2 linked regions of the Caenorhabditis elegans genome follow. The protein of the gene in region 2 interacts with the protein of the main gene of each other region in a pairwise test. Each region holds a gene or a part of one and is shown on either strand. Other genes may lie near its edges.

Region 1 (7,833 bases), on a different chromosome or scaffold from region 2:
CCCAATTAAATGCAGACGCGCCCCAATGCACAGCGCGTAATATTGAATTTTAATTTTTGCCCGCCAATTCTCACGTGTATTCAGCTCGACCAACGCCTCGAAAATTTTCAAAAAAGACGGGAAAAAATATTTGAATTCCCCAAGAGGAATTTCAGAGACCCGAAGAACTCGGGGGATGTCCAATTGGGGGGATTACCAACTAGGGGGATTGGCCCCGCCCACAGAACCGTGCCTTACAATACGCCCATTTCTGCAACCTCCGCACGGTTTTGAATGATGATTTTCTTCATTGTTTTTTGGGGGAGAAAAATCAATTTCGACTCTAAAAACTTCAATTTGAATTGTTTTTTTCGGTTTTTGAGTCGTTTTCGCGGAATAAAAGTAAAATATTTCAAAAAAATCGATTTTTCGCAGTGAAACAACAATTTACACGGAAAGGGGACGCGTAAAAATCGATTATTTGTTTTTTCGTGTTTTTTTATGTTTTTTTATGTTTTTTCGTCGTTTTTTCTTGTTTTCTTCGTTAATAATTGAATTTAAAATAATATTTTCAGTAAAAGGACTTAAATCGCCGCAAAAATCGACCGCGTGAGCCGCGAAACGGCGGAAAACGTCTAAAAGTGAGTTGTTTTACTAAATATTGTAAGGATCTTCTGGTTCCCACCTCTCCAATATAAGAGCATTACTTCAGTCTAGTTTTCCAGGTCCAGCAAGTGCCGTCGTAGCGAATGCATGTCTGCATTCGGTATGGAGAAAAACATGTTTGTTCGATAATATATGGAGAAAAACATGTTTGTTCGGAATTAGAAAGATTTGAGACTCAAGCTCGCGTATTTCATATTTATTTTTTCGATTTTAGCGAAAACTCAACACATTTTCGATCATTTTTGAACAAAAAAATTGTTTTCTGAAAAATTTGACGCTTAATTTTTTTGAAACTGCACTCAAATATGAAGAAAAGCATGATTAACCAGAAAAAGTAACATTTGAGACCCAAGCTCGCGTATTTCATATTTATTTTTTCGATTTTAGCGAAAAATCAACACTTTTTCGATCATTTTTGAACAAAAAATTGTTTTCTCAAAAATTTGACGCTTATTTTTTTTGAAACTGCACTCAAATATAAAGAAAAACATGCTTGTTCTGAATTAGTAAGAATTGCGACTCAAGCTCGCGTATCTCATATTTATTTGTTCGATTTCAGTGGAAAATCGACACATTTTTGGGAAAATTTTTTTTTTTCGAAATATTCGCTCCTAATTTTTAATGATTTCCAGATGACACGCCGGTTCACACCACATTCTACTGAGGAGATCGCTTCAAATAACCGAAACCATCCCGACATTGGCTCCATCGAACCCCGAGTGACCCTGGAACTCGTCGAAATTGAAGAAGGAATCGATGAGGGAGAAGTTCTCTATAGCATACTACGAAGACTCTAGACGAACTGTTAAGACTGAGAGTTTATATGGACAAGAAGAAGCACTTAAAGAAGCACCGTGTGTAGGAAAGCGAAAAACGGGTTATTCGAAGACGTACGATTGTCAAGGGGCAACAGGATGCTGAGGAGACAGAGGTGAAGGAAATTCGAGAGAATGCTACTCGTAAGCAAGGTGCTACTACTGGACAAGTTGAAGAAGTTGAAAATCAGACGGAGAAGGATAGAGAGATTGTGATGAATCGGGAGAGGTACAGATTTCAATAATTTAATGCTTCTAATTTGATATATTTTCAGAAATCTGAAGCGTGCCAACGAGGAATGGGGAACAACTGAAGCCTCGAAGCGTCCAAGATATGAGGATAGTCGTGGTGTTTTCCGAGGTGGATTCAGAGGAAGAAGAGAAGCTCGTGGTGGCTTCCGTAGAAGTGACGACCGAGGAGGATTCAGAGGACGTGACGGAGGTGGTGGCTTCCGTGGTGGGCAAGGTGGAGATTGAGGCGGTTTCCGTGGTCGTCGTCAATTCTAATATCAGTTGTTGTTTTGCAATTTATTGGTTTTCTGCGTTCTCCATTTTTATTATTATGTTCGTTTTTGTTATTGTTATAATCATGAATATATCAGACTGTTTAACCCGAATTCAGAACTAGGAATTTAGCAGAAAATCGCAGGAAAAATTTGGGACTTAATAATTATTGCGTTTTGCGTTAAAATATCACATTTGCACGTAAATTGTGACACTTGCGGTTTGGCGGCACGGCTCTCTATATTATTCATTCATTTTATCAACAAACTTCTATCGCCCTAACGTCGATCAAAAAAGCTCATCAGCAACTGCCGTCGAGTGGAGACCCGAAGAACTCGGGGGATGTCCAACTGGGGGATTCCCAACTCGGGGGATTGGCCACGCCCACAGAACCGTGCCTTACAATACGCCCATTTCTGCAACCTCCGCACGGTTTTGAATGATGATTTTTTTCATCGTTTTTTGGGGGAGAAAAATCAATTTCGACTCTAAAAAGTTCAATTTGAATTGTTTTTTTCGGTTTTTGAGTCGTTTTCGCGGAATAAAAGAAAAATATTTTTAAAAAATCGATTTTTCGCAGTGAAACAACAATTTACACGGAAAGGGGACGCGTAAAAATCGATTATTTGCAAGGAAAGAACAATTTACACGAGAGGAGACGAAGTAAAGAACGTAGAACGAGTTCTATTTAAAAAATTCGAATAAGATAACCTGAAAAATTGCCATGAAATGTTTTTCAGAGCCGGCGGAAATTGTTCAATGAAATAATTGTACAAATTGGTTTGCAAGCTATTCATTGAACATTAAGAGCGATATTTTATTGATCATGATAATTATTTACAGATAAGGATAATATTACATTTAATGAATTACATAATTTCAACAAAAAAAACAATAATTTGTCATGAAAACGGAAGAATTTGGAGGATGAGCAGCTCGGGCGGATCTGAAAAATTTAAATTAGAACTTTCATAATGACATCGCTGATATATAAATGAAAAAAGATTTTATCTCGTCTATTATCAGATTCGCTTAGTTTTTAGAGGCCTTTGGCTTAAATGAATGCTACAGGTACACTTTTCTCTTAATGGATACGGAAAAGTGAACAAAAATCAAATTTCTAGCGTCTTTTCCACCATACCAATTACAAAATTCTACACAATTCAATTGAGAAGTCTACGGTTTGGAGTTTTAACGTTCACAGAGACGTACAATCGAAAAGAACATGGTTATTGCGAAGAAGAACTGATCGCCCGCCACTATACAGAAATTCCGACTTCAAAAGAGCAGTGACAGCAAATTATAGCTGTTTCAACGATTTCAATGCCTGTATAAGTCCATCTATGTTCGATCCGAAGATATTTCATTAATTTTTTGTTAAACTATTTCAATTTTTGTTCTTAAATCAATTTTTTTTCCTACTTTCTACAATTTGAGAATATAATACTCACGTAGGTGGACTGGAGAAGCACATCCTTGTTTCATCCGTGCAATTTTGATGGTCCCTCGATTCGACGAAGTCTAGAAATTAAAAAAATTAATAAAATATGAGAGGGAAAGAGATTAACAAAAGGAATACACGAATTAAGGAGGGCGAATTAACAAGTCACGGTTGAAAAATACTTTTTTTTGCGAAAATGGCTGAAAAAACGAAGAAAAACAATTCAAATTGAAGTTTTTAGAGTCGAAATTGATTTTTCTCCCCCAAAAAACAATGAAGAAAATCATCATTCAAAACCGTGCGGAGGTTGCAGAAATGGGCGTATTGTAAGGCACGGTTCTGTGGGCGTGGCCAATCCCCCGAGTTGGGAATCCCCCCAGTTGGACATCCCCCGAGTTCTTCGGGTCTCGTCGAGTGAAATGCGATAGAATTTGTCTGTGAAAAACCAAATATCGATTTTCCTTGAATATCGTGAAGAACAAATCTTCATACTTACGATTCTTCACAAATTCGATGAAAATCTGATAGTTTTTTCAATTTTAGCTCTATAATTCCGAAAAAAATCTTCTGTTAATTTTCGCGAAATGTCGTCAATTAAAATGCGCGCTGTGCAGTACGCAACGGTGTACGAAAGTTTACACTGAGTATTCAACGTTGAGCACGCAGTCAGCCAAATTGGAATACGGTAGAGAATCCTCGTCCATGTACCCCCCGCCGGGCCGTGGGTCGAGCTGAATACACGTGATTCTCCTACGCAAGGACTATAAAAGTGAGCTGTCACTCTCATTTTTCTTCTTTTTTCATAAAATTTAGTTCATTCACTTTATCGTTGCTTGTCTTTTTGTGATATTAAGACTTCCTGCGCTTATATTTTCATCTTGCCAGTGCTTTAGTGTTAGATTCATATAAATTTTCTGGCCTTCACTTTCAGATTTTTCACATTATCCAAAAATACATGTACACTGAATTCCTGAGTAAATAATTCTTTATGATTTATTTTTCTTTTTAATGGTTTTCCCTGTGTTCGCGGAATATTTTGTTTTGAAACCTAGTGAAGTAAGCGCGCTCTATAGAAACGCGCGAAATTGGCCGTTCAAACTAAGTATTGCATAATTTTAGCTCCATTTTCGACATCATATCAGTTTTTTACTAAATTTTTCTGTTAAAAAGTTAAAATTTATGTTTCAGTGTTTCTAAAATATGTAACACATCTTGTCTCTCTGGAATCTGTTGATAAACGCTAATTATTCACCTTCCCTTTCTTTCCTTCATTTTTCTCGCATTTCTAATCTATTTTCATCTTTCCAGAAACTACTAACCATGTGGAACGAGACTGTCGAGCACGAGAACGCAGGAAACGGATGGGCCGCTGGAGAGTCGTCGTTTATGACCGACAGAAAGCCTGTAAGAATAAGAGATAAATCATACTTTCAAATAAATATTTTTTACAGGACTCGAAGGCTACAACTCTCGGCGAGAGGCTCCCAGTGCCGGTCACGATTTCCAATCTGATCGAGCACTTTTCTGCGCAGGATGACAAGTATGTCGTCGGGACTTTCCGATTCGCAACGGTGTTGACCGTCGGTATTGTGAAGGATATCAGTCAGGATGGGACAACGTACACGTACGACCTCTGTGATCCAAACAACACGGAGATGGAATATCGTACGCTCAAGTATGACAATGAGGGTTCGACATTCGATCATTCTTCAATTGTCGAGGGAACTCGTGTTCGAGCCATCGGAAAGCTCAAGGGATTCGATGGAAACAATAGTAAGTTTATATTTCCTTCAATTATATATCTTAATTCAAATAATTTCAGCCATTATGCTGTTCAACATCACTCCAGTTGAAGACGACAAGGATTTCACGATCTTCGAGCTCGAGGCAGAAGCTGCACGTCTGTTCTTCCAAAAGAACGTGAGCGAGAAACTGAAGTCGGTCGACTCGGATGGCTTCCAAGGAATGCTGGCACCACCGAAGAGCAGAATGTCACAAACATCGCATCAAAGCTCGCAAGGATCGGACACCAAGGAGAGATTGTATGCTCAACCGCAAAAAGTGATGACGGGAGCGAACCAAGGAGATGTGCTCAGAGAGCGCATTACCGCCGTCTTGATGGCTGTGCCAGAGGGTTCTCGTGACGAAGGTCGACATGTTTCGTGGATAGCTGAGCAAATTCAAGAAACGAACATTTCTATTGTTCGTAAGTGCGTCGGTGAGATGGTCGAGAACGGATTGGTCTACACCACTGTCGACGAGGAAACTGTTTCCGCTATTTAACTGCTGATTGTAACATTATTTTCATTATCCTTCTTTCATCCCACTGGGAAATTCACTTTTGATACTCGAAACTATGAATGATTCATACTTTAAAAGCGTTTATTAGTAAATTTGAACATAATTAATTAGACGCTAATGATGCGAAGAATCCGAGGAGGAAAGAGAGCATGAGGAACGGCAAATCACATTATTAACCCAGACGATTGAACACACTTCGAGCTACCTGAAAACAAAACGAAATTGAATTTAACTTTTTTTCGAATGGAAGCTAGTAGAAGTGCTAGGTGTTAGGTCGAAAATGGATTGTGGTTGGTTCTCTAAATACTCTTAAAATCACATTTTCAATGAAAAGACCATTGTCAGGAACTGCTCGTAGCCGACGGTGATGACTCCATCGCGGTCCGTGTCGACGTCTCTGAAAATTAAGTAATCAGATTGTAAAGTATGATACTCCAAATTTTTTGGTCAAAAATTACTATAGAAACATAGAAAATAGTTAGTTCCATCTAAAAATATTTTTAAAGTAATATTTAATTTTGTTGAAAAATTTTGAATTTTTTAAAAGAGCTTTTCTCTAAATTTCTAAATCAATTTTAGCCCTGATTTCTAACCTGAAGGCAGCAGTGAGGGTCTGAAGAACGACGCAAAGTTGGATAAAATCGTCGAAATTGATTCGATTACTGTGGGATCTGTCGAATTTGTGCATAAGGATGTTGTAGAATTGTGGAGAGAGACGGTATCCTGAAGAAATATATGATCAGTCATCGAGTTTCCGATTTTCTTATCGCTTTTCTATGATTAAAAACTAACCAAATTGTGTGAGAGCATTGGTCAGCTCACTCTTATCAATATTTCCCGAACCATCGGTATCAAAACCACGGAAACAGTTTGTCCAGTCGTTGATATATCTCCACAGAGCCTGAAAATATGATTATTTTCACAAATTCTGGTTTATATTTTTTCAAACCTGGAATTCTTGAAAATTGATTGCGCCGTCTCCATTCGAGTCGAACATTCCGATCATTAAACGGCAAGTTTCCGGATTGAATGGGTTCCATGTTCCGTTGGAGAGAGCAGTTTGAAGCTCATCGGAACTGATTTGCCCTGATCTGAAAACTGGGAAATTTTGTTTAATTTTTAAATATTATGTAAATAATAAATAAAATTTTAAATATTAAATATTAAATAAAAAAATATAAATAAAAATTTTAAATTTATAAATGTTTGTTTTTGCGATTCTTGGCTCTTGAAAAAATACAAAAATTATATTCTGCGCATAAAATACGGTAACCAGTCTCGAAACGACAAGTTCTGGTTTTTGTTAAAAGATACGCGCCTTTGAAGAGTACTATAGCTTCAAAGTTCATCGATTTTTCATATTTTTTCTCGTGATTTTATACAAATTTGAGCGTTTCATTTTTTTTAAACATAAATATATTTTGTATCAAAAAATTATGAAAAATCGATAAAAATTCCGCAGCAATAAAAGTTTGAAACTACAGTGCTCTTTAAAGGGACACACATTTTTCCAAAAACAGAAATTTGTCGTGTCGAGACCGGGTACAGCGAAATTTTTTTTTGTTTTTTTATTCATAATTTTGACAATAAATTTTCAACGAGAAACATATTTATTGATTTTATTTACTCCAATTTTAAAATTGTTATATCAATTTAACTATTAAAACTATTAATAAAAACATACCGATCCTTGTCGACAGAAGAGAAGATTTGTTGCAAGTTAGGTTGTTGAAAAGCCATCTAAAAATGGATAAAATCTGTGTGAATTGGTAAAATAAAAATAAAATGAAATGAGAGAAGAATGTGAAGTACTCAAAAGAGACGCAGACGGTGAGACAACAACAAAATGTGTGCGGTGATGATGCATCGATGTGGGCGGAGCCCAGAAACACTGTTGAGTAGTGACGTCACATTATCCGTGGTGAGTCATTCACTCTCTTCAGGGGGATGGGAAAATGATGAATATTGTGAAATAAGGTGATGAAAAAGTGAATGTTAACAGTTGAGATGTACGAAAATAGTTAGGAAGTTTTCGTAATATTTTGAAAAACATCGAATATTTCTAGTTGGAGAATCTCAAAGGGGCTGGAATATAACTCTGATCATGAAAAAACTATGAAAAATCGA
Region 2 (8,274 bases):
GTTTTGTGCGTGGTTCAGTTTATCTGAGAGCATGGTATGTCTATATGCTTTATGTTAAAATCGATATGGTCGATCTTAATTTAACAGTTTTAGAACTTTTTTCGGAAGTCCTGCTTTAAAAATTAAACCATTCGTGTGTAATGGAACAAACGAACAATTCAAATCCGTTAATGGTCTATAACAAACGCCAAAAAGTGAATTTTTGGCGGGTAGGGGTGTAAAAGTCAATAATGCAATATTTTATTAAATAAAACGGAGAAATCATATTTCATGTATCATTCTGCTCGGGACATTAATTTCAAAGTACTCGAGCTTTGGATTGGATCCGTTGATCCAATGTCTGACAAACAAGTTGAACTGATTTATGCCAATAACAACTTCCCCAAAAACTACAATGCTGTTTGTGGAGAGAATATCATTAAGATTGTACTCATAAAAATACATCACTCGTAAGACATCGAAGTTTTGAACCAAGAACTCTTGAGTTGTGTGAGTTTTGGATTCAAATACTGGAGTACTGAGATCAATCCTGTCGCTTTTACTTGCAATCTGTCTCATAATCTTCTGATGAAACAACGAGTCTGACATTTTTCCGGGATTCATAAAGCAACAAATGTCGAGATCCTTGAACTCGTCGCAAATCGATTGAGTGCAATAGTTGTCTCTGGTTATAGTGAATTCGTCGAGTTTTGCCCGATTTAAAACATCCAGTAGGTGATCAACATACTTTCGTATTCCCATGCTCGGAATGCTCATACAAATCACTCTACCAGTTGTTGAACCTTCGATTTTCAAATGTTCTGAATTTTCAAATGTTTTTTCAAGAGTCACTCCACTATTGAAAAGTTGAATCTCAAAAAACAGGGGATCTTCGACGGGAAGACTCCGATGCATGTTAGAGAAAAAATGTGAATTTGAGTTGACCATGGCGTTGGGTGGGTTTAATTTTAATTTCCACAGAATCATCAATGTCCACTATAACCAAAAAGACAAATCGATGCAAAGACTTTGCAAGATTTTTCGTCTTTTTTGAGACAAACGAGAAATTCAATCTAAAATTGTTCAAGTTAAATGATGAAAAATGTTTAAAAACTTACATGTCCAGAAGCTGGCAGTGTTGAAGTGTACACCGGAGAGCTTTTGCAGGTAGTTGTAGAATATTCATTGCAGCAGGATGAGCAGTACAGACCAAATGACAGAGAAGGTTGGTTAAGGCAATTGTGGAGTGGACAAGTGAGGGCTAATGGGAGACAGAAAAAAAAGAGCAACTGACGTAATATTATCGGCTACTATGAAGAGGACTCTGACGCACAAAGGAGAATGGACTATTCTGAATCGATAATAGGCAGCTGACCTGTGCAGCGTTAGCACATATTTGATGTAGCACAGCGACCTAGGGCAAGAATTTGTAGCCAATAAAACTCAAAAGTGTGCGCTGGGGCGCGCTTGCATTTTTTAAGTTTTGAAGACAATTATGTCGGTTTTTCAGTGTCTTTTCAGAGAGAATGAAATGATTTTCGACGCAAAAAATCATTTAAGTGGAGTTTTTCATTATAAAATAAAAGTTTCCAGTTCGGAATATATAGATAACGCTTTTTTCGTCCATTTTCCAGACATTGAACGGATTACTGAAGTTGAGCTTATGAAGTCTAACGTTAGAGTATGTTTCTGAATAAAATCGAAAATCATACACTTCATAATCTTTGAAACCAGGATTTAACATCATAACCTGTTAAAAGTGAACGTTTATTAAATTAATACTGCGTGTTTCTTTCATTTCAATGCACATCCGATGCCATTTTGTTCAAAATAATTCTGTATTCTAATTTTTAATGATCTCTCATGTTTTAAAATTAAAAACTTAGTTTTTACAATGAATGGAGAACGTTTGATATGATAAACAATAGTGTAATAAAAACACGAGATGGTTTCTCAAATTTTTGTTCGTTGCGGACTAATTCACTTCAACAAAACTATTTTTCATATCAAAAAAGTAAATGAACAAATATAATTCCTAATAAAAAACGATAAACTCATTTTCGGCTTGTTTTCGAATTGAAAATCATAATTTCGGGTAACATTTACTACAAATTTCTCTTGATTTTCAGGAAAACGGTTCGCTGTGTGTCGTATATATGTATTTGATATAGGAAACTGGTAAAATTTTGGCGGAGTTGAGCTTCAAGTAATTGAAAAAATCTTAAAATCTGCCAATTTTTGCGATTTTTTGTGGATTTCAGTCCAAAAATTAAAAATTGAGAATTGTAAAATTGTGATAACTAGCAAAGATTCAATGTCGATAAAATACTTTACATGCTTTATCTAGTAAACTGGTAAAATTTTAGCCAATTTGAGATTGATTGAAAAATATCAATCAATGTGCCAATTTTTGAGATTTTTCGTGGATTTCGTCCAAAAATTTGAAAGTCAAATTTGAAATTGAGACGATAGGCACAGATGTGAAGTCGATAAATTGTTTTACATGTTTTATCCAGGAAACTGGTGAAATTTTAGCCATTTTTCACGAAATTCATTCTGTCTGGAAAGAAAATAACGTGTGTATTGGATACGTTTTATCTCATTCATTTATTGAGAATCAAAGCAAATAAGTTTGCATTTCAGAAGACATTAGAACAAAAAAAAAGAAAACAAGAGTAAACGTAACAAGAAACCGGTAAAGAACAGAAGAAAACAACAGGACGCATTGAAGATGAAAAGAGTCATGGTGAAAATATCATTTCCTCGAATTTCTGGGGGGACAACAATTAATTGATTGCCAAACGTCTTTCATAAATTATGACAAGAAAGCGATCGATTTTGTTCTTAATTCCATTGATATTGTGAGCAGAGAAGTTTGGATTAAAAACTCGCGCAACTTCTGGTGTCATCTCATCTTTCAAATCAATTATTCCATTTTTGAAGTGAGCGGATTTCAAGAGAATCTGCAAATAGTCACAATAAATTACACAGTTCATTATTTCGAACTCACATCTCTGATTTTAATTGCATCAGAAATTGATAATCCTGGAAAGCCAAGCCAAAAACGAGACAGATGGAACATGTTCTCAATGGGGAAGCTACGAAATGATGACATTGGACTGATAACCTCTTTCGCCTGTTTCCATTGTTCAAGCTCGAAAACTTCATGCGAACGTTCATGTTGCAACAAACTGGCATAGTCAATTTTTTGAAGGAATCCGGGTTTCAAAGTTGAAATGATAGTGATAACATCATTGAATTCCAAGTTTCCCAAAAAAACCTTTTTGGTATGAAGCATATTTTCTGGATTGAAAGTATCTCTGAACCACGTTGCAACTGCGACCGAATCTGAACCACCAAAAATGTTGAGATCATCCAATCGTTGCCGTGGATTCTTCAAAATTACGGTTAAATCGTCAAGCTTCATCATCAAGCGGGGCTTTTCGATATATTTCGTGCAGCAGTAATCACTAGAAATCAAACAACCGGAACCTTGAATTCCGTACGTAACGCAAAAGTTTCCGGTTAAATTCCGCGTAGTGAGAGATAAATCGTCGACTGCCGAGGTGACAGACTCGACTCCTGGATTTTCATCAACAATCTTTCGCAAAATCCGACAGACTTTACGAAGAGCAAGTCTGAAAGTTGTTTTTTTTATTAATGAAATTAAAACTTTGATTTTACCGATTGATTGGATTGACTCTCTTGATAATCTCAGTGAGCATTTCGGTTGGCAACTCTATAAGCGTCCGATCGTTGGAACTGGAAAATTAGTATTATGAAAAAAAGCTCATACCTAATCTTCTATTTGCTTGAAAAATAAACTAACTTCTCAATTGACACACTCGCCAATTTGTCCGTCATGTTCTGGGCGATCAGGGTCGTTTCTGTAGTTTTCTGAAAAAGTTTACGTTTTATTTGATTGAAGAAATTATTTTGCGGAATGAAGAAAATGAAGAAAAGTACTAAAGGAAACAATGGCAACCAAAATGTTCATTATTTGGATAAAACAAGAGAAAGTCCAATTTTTCAATGATCTTTTGTGGAACAATTTATATTATTAAAGCTTAAATTAACTTTTCTAACACTCTAACACGAAAAACCAACGTAAGCTTCACAAGTTCAGGAAAAACCGCGAGAAAATAAATTTCGAAATACTGATCGGCTTAAATATATATTCCAGGAAAATTGTTTCAGTTTTTGACATTTTTCGTGGATTTTGGACCAAAAAAGAAAAATTGAAATTGTGACAATTGGCACAGATTTGGTGTCGCTAAATTGTTATAAATGTTTTATCCAGTAAACTGGTGAAATCTTGGCCAATTTGGGCATCGAGTGATTGAAAAATATCCAAAAATAAGCCAATTTTTGCGAAATGTTGTTATAAGCAAATACTTTTGAAATTGATAAAATCGAGAAAATGTAAGAATTCAAAAGTTAGAAAAACGAAAATAAACAAAAAAAGCTGAAAAAAAAGAGAAAAATGGAATGCGTTCGAACAAATAAATCTCAACAACCTCTCAAGAATTTGTGGGCGTGGTCGATACGCAACCGGTGCGCGCGTTTTTTGCGCAGAGGGGGCGCGCAGTAGCTAGTAGGTGCCGAGAGTGCGACCTACATAGGTCGCTAGGTAGCATTGCGACCTAGGTAGAATTGCGACCTGCGACCTAGCGATCTGCAGCGCCAAACTAAATGTCTTTCTCGGTTTTGATTCACATGAGTTGGCGCTGTAGGTCATATTCTGCAAGTAAGCATGCACTTCAAGGATACTTTGATTGTCTTCGCGCCGAGCACAAGAACCTGCACATTTTGGTGGTCTCCGCTGGATACATCAACACCGGTTTTGGATCGAGAGCTTTGAACACCGATGGGAAAGTTGTTGGGGTAGAGGATGAAAACCAAAAGAAAGTAAGAATGCGTTTTAACAAAATGAGATTAATTTCGTTGCTACTGCTCTGTCTGAGTGGCGCATCTAACTATTTAAATAGCCTGCGACACTAGTTTCACTCTTACTCTTTCTAACAGGTTCTTCGAACTATACTGATTGCAGGGATATTCACCGGAACACTCTGCACGCATGATTTCCGATGCAATCCGTGATCGAGTGTCGGACTTTGACATGGCTCCATTTGGTGCTCGCTTTGCAGTTTTCCTCAGATATTTCTGGCCAACTCTTCTTAATTATGCCTTGTACACTTGTGGCACTAAAGACCAATGGGCGCCGAAGAATAAGAAGGAGTAATTAAAACTAAATGTGATCTAATTCCTGACACAACTGTTATTAGATGTTCATTCTCCGAATGTTCTTTAGCTAAAATTTTGGTATTAGTGTTGTGAGATGGGCTGGGAAACAATCCCATCTCCCAAATTAGTGACCTTTTGAGGATGGCTCCATGACTCTATCATGATCGCCATACCTCAAAACCTCTAATACAATTCCATTCACCCGCGTTTCCCCCGTTAACTCGTCTCCAGTACGCTTCCTTATTGGAATCCCATCCAAATGGTCTTGCCGCGCCCTTAAAGGCGCAGCTCCCCCTTTCGTATAATTATCCCTGGCCTAAAATGTAAGCCGCTCCGCTCACTCAAGTCACTCAAGTCACTCAAGTCGTTCAACACGTTCACCAACGGTCCACCACAACATCTGGCTCCACACATTCCACCATCAATGTCGGCCTCGTTGGATGTCGGCCGCTCCACTGTGAGCGGTCGTCTCTGGACCTACTGACCCTAATTACTTGTTATTCTATGAGCAATAAAGGGGTTTTGTGGCAAACAATTGTGTTATCTTATTCACACCGCTTATCTCTTCTTTCTCGATGGCACTCCGAAACCGCCAGTATCTCTCTTGTCGCTGAATATACTTGACGTCAGAGGTGTTTCCCCAACGCACTTATCTGAGCTGTCAACAATTAGGTCGGCAAATAATTATGAACGTATTTTGCCATTTTACGATTTTTTGTAAATTTTATATATGTGACTCATAGTAGGCAGTGAGTATAGGAAAGCTTATAAATTTAAGCTACTTTGGCCATCTGCGTAATATTAAGATTTGAAAAAATCGAAAAATTTTTGAAATTTTTTTTCGTGATTATCTCGATCTTCATTTCAAAGAAAAGAAACAATTAAATTCACATGTATTTAGAAGAAAGTTTGCAAAACTATTAATTACAAACAACAGTATCATTTTTTCATTTGTCGGTTTTTTTTTTCGATTTTTCGATTTTTTCATGGGAAAATCGAAAAATTGAAAATCGAAAAACAAAAAGTTTCGATTTCTCAGTTCTCAGGATTCTCAGAAAAACCAAACAATCTAATAAAATGTTCCTAAAATAAACCATAAAAATGATGTTTTAATCTAAATCCTTGATTAAAAAATAATGTGTTCCTCAAAATGGGTATTTGTCAAAAACATAGAAACCATTAAACATTAGGTTGAACTGGAAGTCTTTGTGACTGGGTTTGCTTTTTCACCGCTCACCGCAGTTGCACTTCGGTATTGCCTTGTTGCTAGGGTACACCAACGAGTGAAGGTACTTAATTTTAAACAACGCCCCATTCTTTTCCCTCTTGCCTCAGCTCAGTTAGCCAACGATGTTTCCCTGAGAATGTTTATCATACATATGCCCCTCACTATAATACAATACACAATTGGTACCAACGCTTCGAGAAGGACGGCTTTTCTCTCGAGGGTCATGAGACCCCATGAATTGTATTAATTGGATTTTGATACGTTGAAAAAAGACGTGGCAACGGATCCTTTTTAAACCACCTGTGAGCTGTCCACCGCACTTGGATCCCATCAAACAAAGATACATAGTACAGGGCTTGGAAGCTCTCGAAATGAAGAAACTTATCGGTCGATTTATACCAAGGCTGTGCGGCTGATGGAAAAATTCGGTTGTCAGCGACAGCCGAGTGTTTATTTTTTCTCGGCTGTCGGTTCACACCATACACGCCGACAGCCGAATCACTTTTTTGGCTATCGACTCACGCCGACATCCGAGTTTCAATTATTTTTTTGGCTGTCAGCCAAGAAAACAATAACTCTTTTATTTTTAAAGGCATACATATGTTGCAAGTATATATCCAAAACTATTTCCGTTTCCATTCTTGGTTACTTTGAAAAGCTAACTTTTCCCACAAATACATTAATTGTAATGAGAAAAAAAGATTTAAAAAAATAGAGATATGTCTTTAATTAATGTGAAAAATAAAACAAAAAAATCGATATCTATCTGATTATCGAAAAATAACTTTTTTATTAATTTAAAGAGTCAGTTTTAGTGAATTTGCAGATATTTTTGGCTCATTTCTAGATGAGTTCTTTTTTTTTTTAAATTCAAGTCATTTCCTGTAGATTTCGCAATTTTCAATCGCAAAGTTCAATTTTTTTTCAAAGTCTGGTATTTGGATAACTTTTACACTTTGTCGATGACAATTTTTCAAATCAAAAACAATAATAATATTTGAATTGAGCATTTTTGTTTAAAAAAGTCAATCTATGAAGAAATACAGTAAGTATACAACAAAAATTTTCAAATCGAATAAATTTGATGTTTTTAATTTGAAAAATTGTCATTAGTAAAGTGTAAAAGTTATCCAAATACCAGACTTTAAGAAAATATTGAATTTTGAAAAGTTGCGAAATCTAAAGGAAATGGCTGGTATTTTAATAAAATGAATAAAAGTAATAATTGTATTTATTTTATCATGAATACGTTCAAGAATTAATCAAAATTGAAAAAGGTCGTATTTTTTGTGTGGTTCGCATTTTGCCTTTGGTTCACTATAAAAAAATTTTGGAATGGCTCAATGGAGTTGGAATTCATTTTTTGCACTAAACAAAAATAGCATTAATTGATTTGTATATTAGCATCAAGTCTCCAACGGCTAACTCAAAAAATCAAGAAAAAAAATTTCAAAAAATTTTCGATTACTACGCAGAGGACCAAAGTATAATAGATGAAACTTATATGTTTTCATATTCTCACTGCTTACTATACATCACATATGTAAAATTTTCAAAAAATCGTGAAATTGCAAAGCACGTCAATACTTTTTTGTCGACCTAATATTTTTCAAATATATTAGCTTTTTCATAATTTCTATTTTCAAGTTTTGAACTGAAGAAAATGCTCAATTCCATTTTTTAACATTTTATATTTTCATATTACTGTATGAATTCTTTGAAAAAATGCATCTACACATATACACATATTTGAAAGTCGTCACCCCGTAAAGTTTATTTTCGTAATCAGGCTTTCAATTCTTCAATTTTTGATGTTCAAGTTC

Evidence for each region.
Region 1: the proteins of C33E10.10 (region 2) and rpa-2 interact in a two-hybrid assay, tested with the Caenorhabditis elegans proteins (one large-scale study listed by BioGRID).

What each region holds. Positions count from the first base shown.
Region 1 is NC_003279.8:4,765,579-4,773,411, forward strand, and holds rpa-2 (Replication protein A C-terminal domain-containing protein), read left to right. Parts: upstream 1-4,713; 5' UTR 4,714-4,725; coding exon 4,726-4,809; intron 4,810-4,856; coding exon 4,857-5,178; intron 5,179-5,227; coding exon 5,228-5,688; 3' UTR 5,689-5,780; downstream 5,781-7,833. Other genes in the region: M04F3.4 (EF-hand domain-containing protein), read right to left, coding at 5,908-5,911, 6,026-6,103, 6,300-6,429, 6,499-6,607, 6,656-6,797, 7,391-7,446.
Region 2 is NC_003284.9:17,298,321-17,306,594, reverse strand, and holds C33E10.10 (DeHydrogenases, Short chain), read left to right. Parts: upstream 1-4,594; 5' UTR 4,595-4,671; coding exon 4,672-4,887; intron 4,888-5,029; coding exon 5,030-5,221; 3' UTR 5,222-5,755; downstream 5,756-8,274. Other genes in the region: C33E10.1 (F-box domain-containing protein), read right to left, coding at 896-1,052, 1,098-1,165; fbxa-120 (F-box domain-containing protein), read right to left, coding at 2,766-2,942, 2,990-3,617, 3,664-3,741, 3,809-3,843.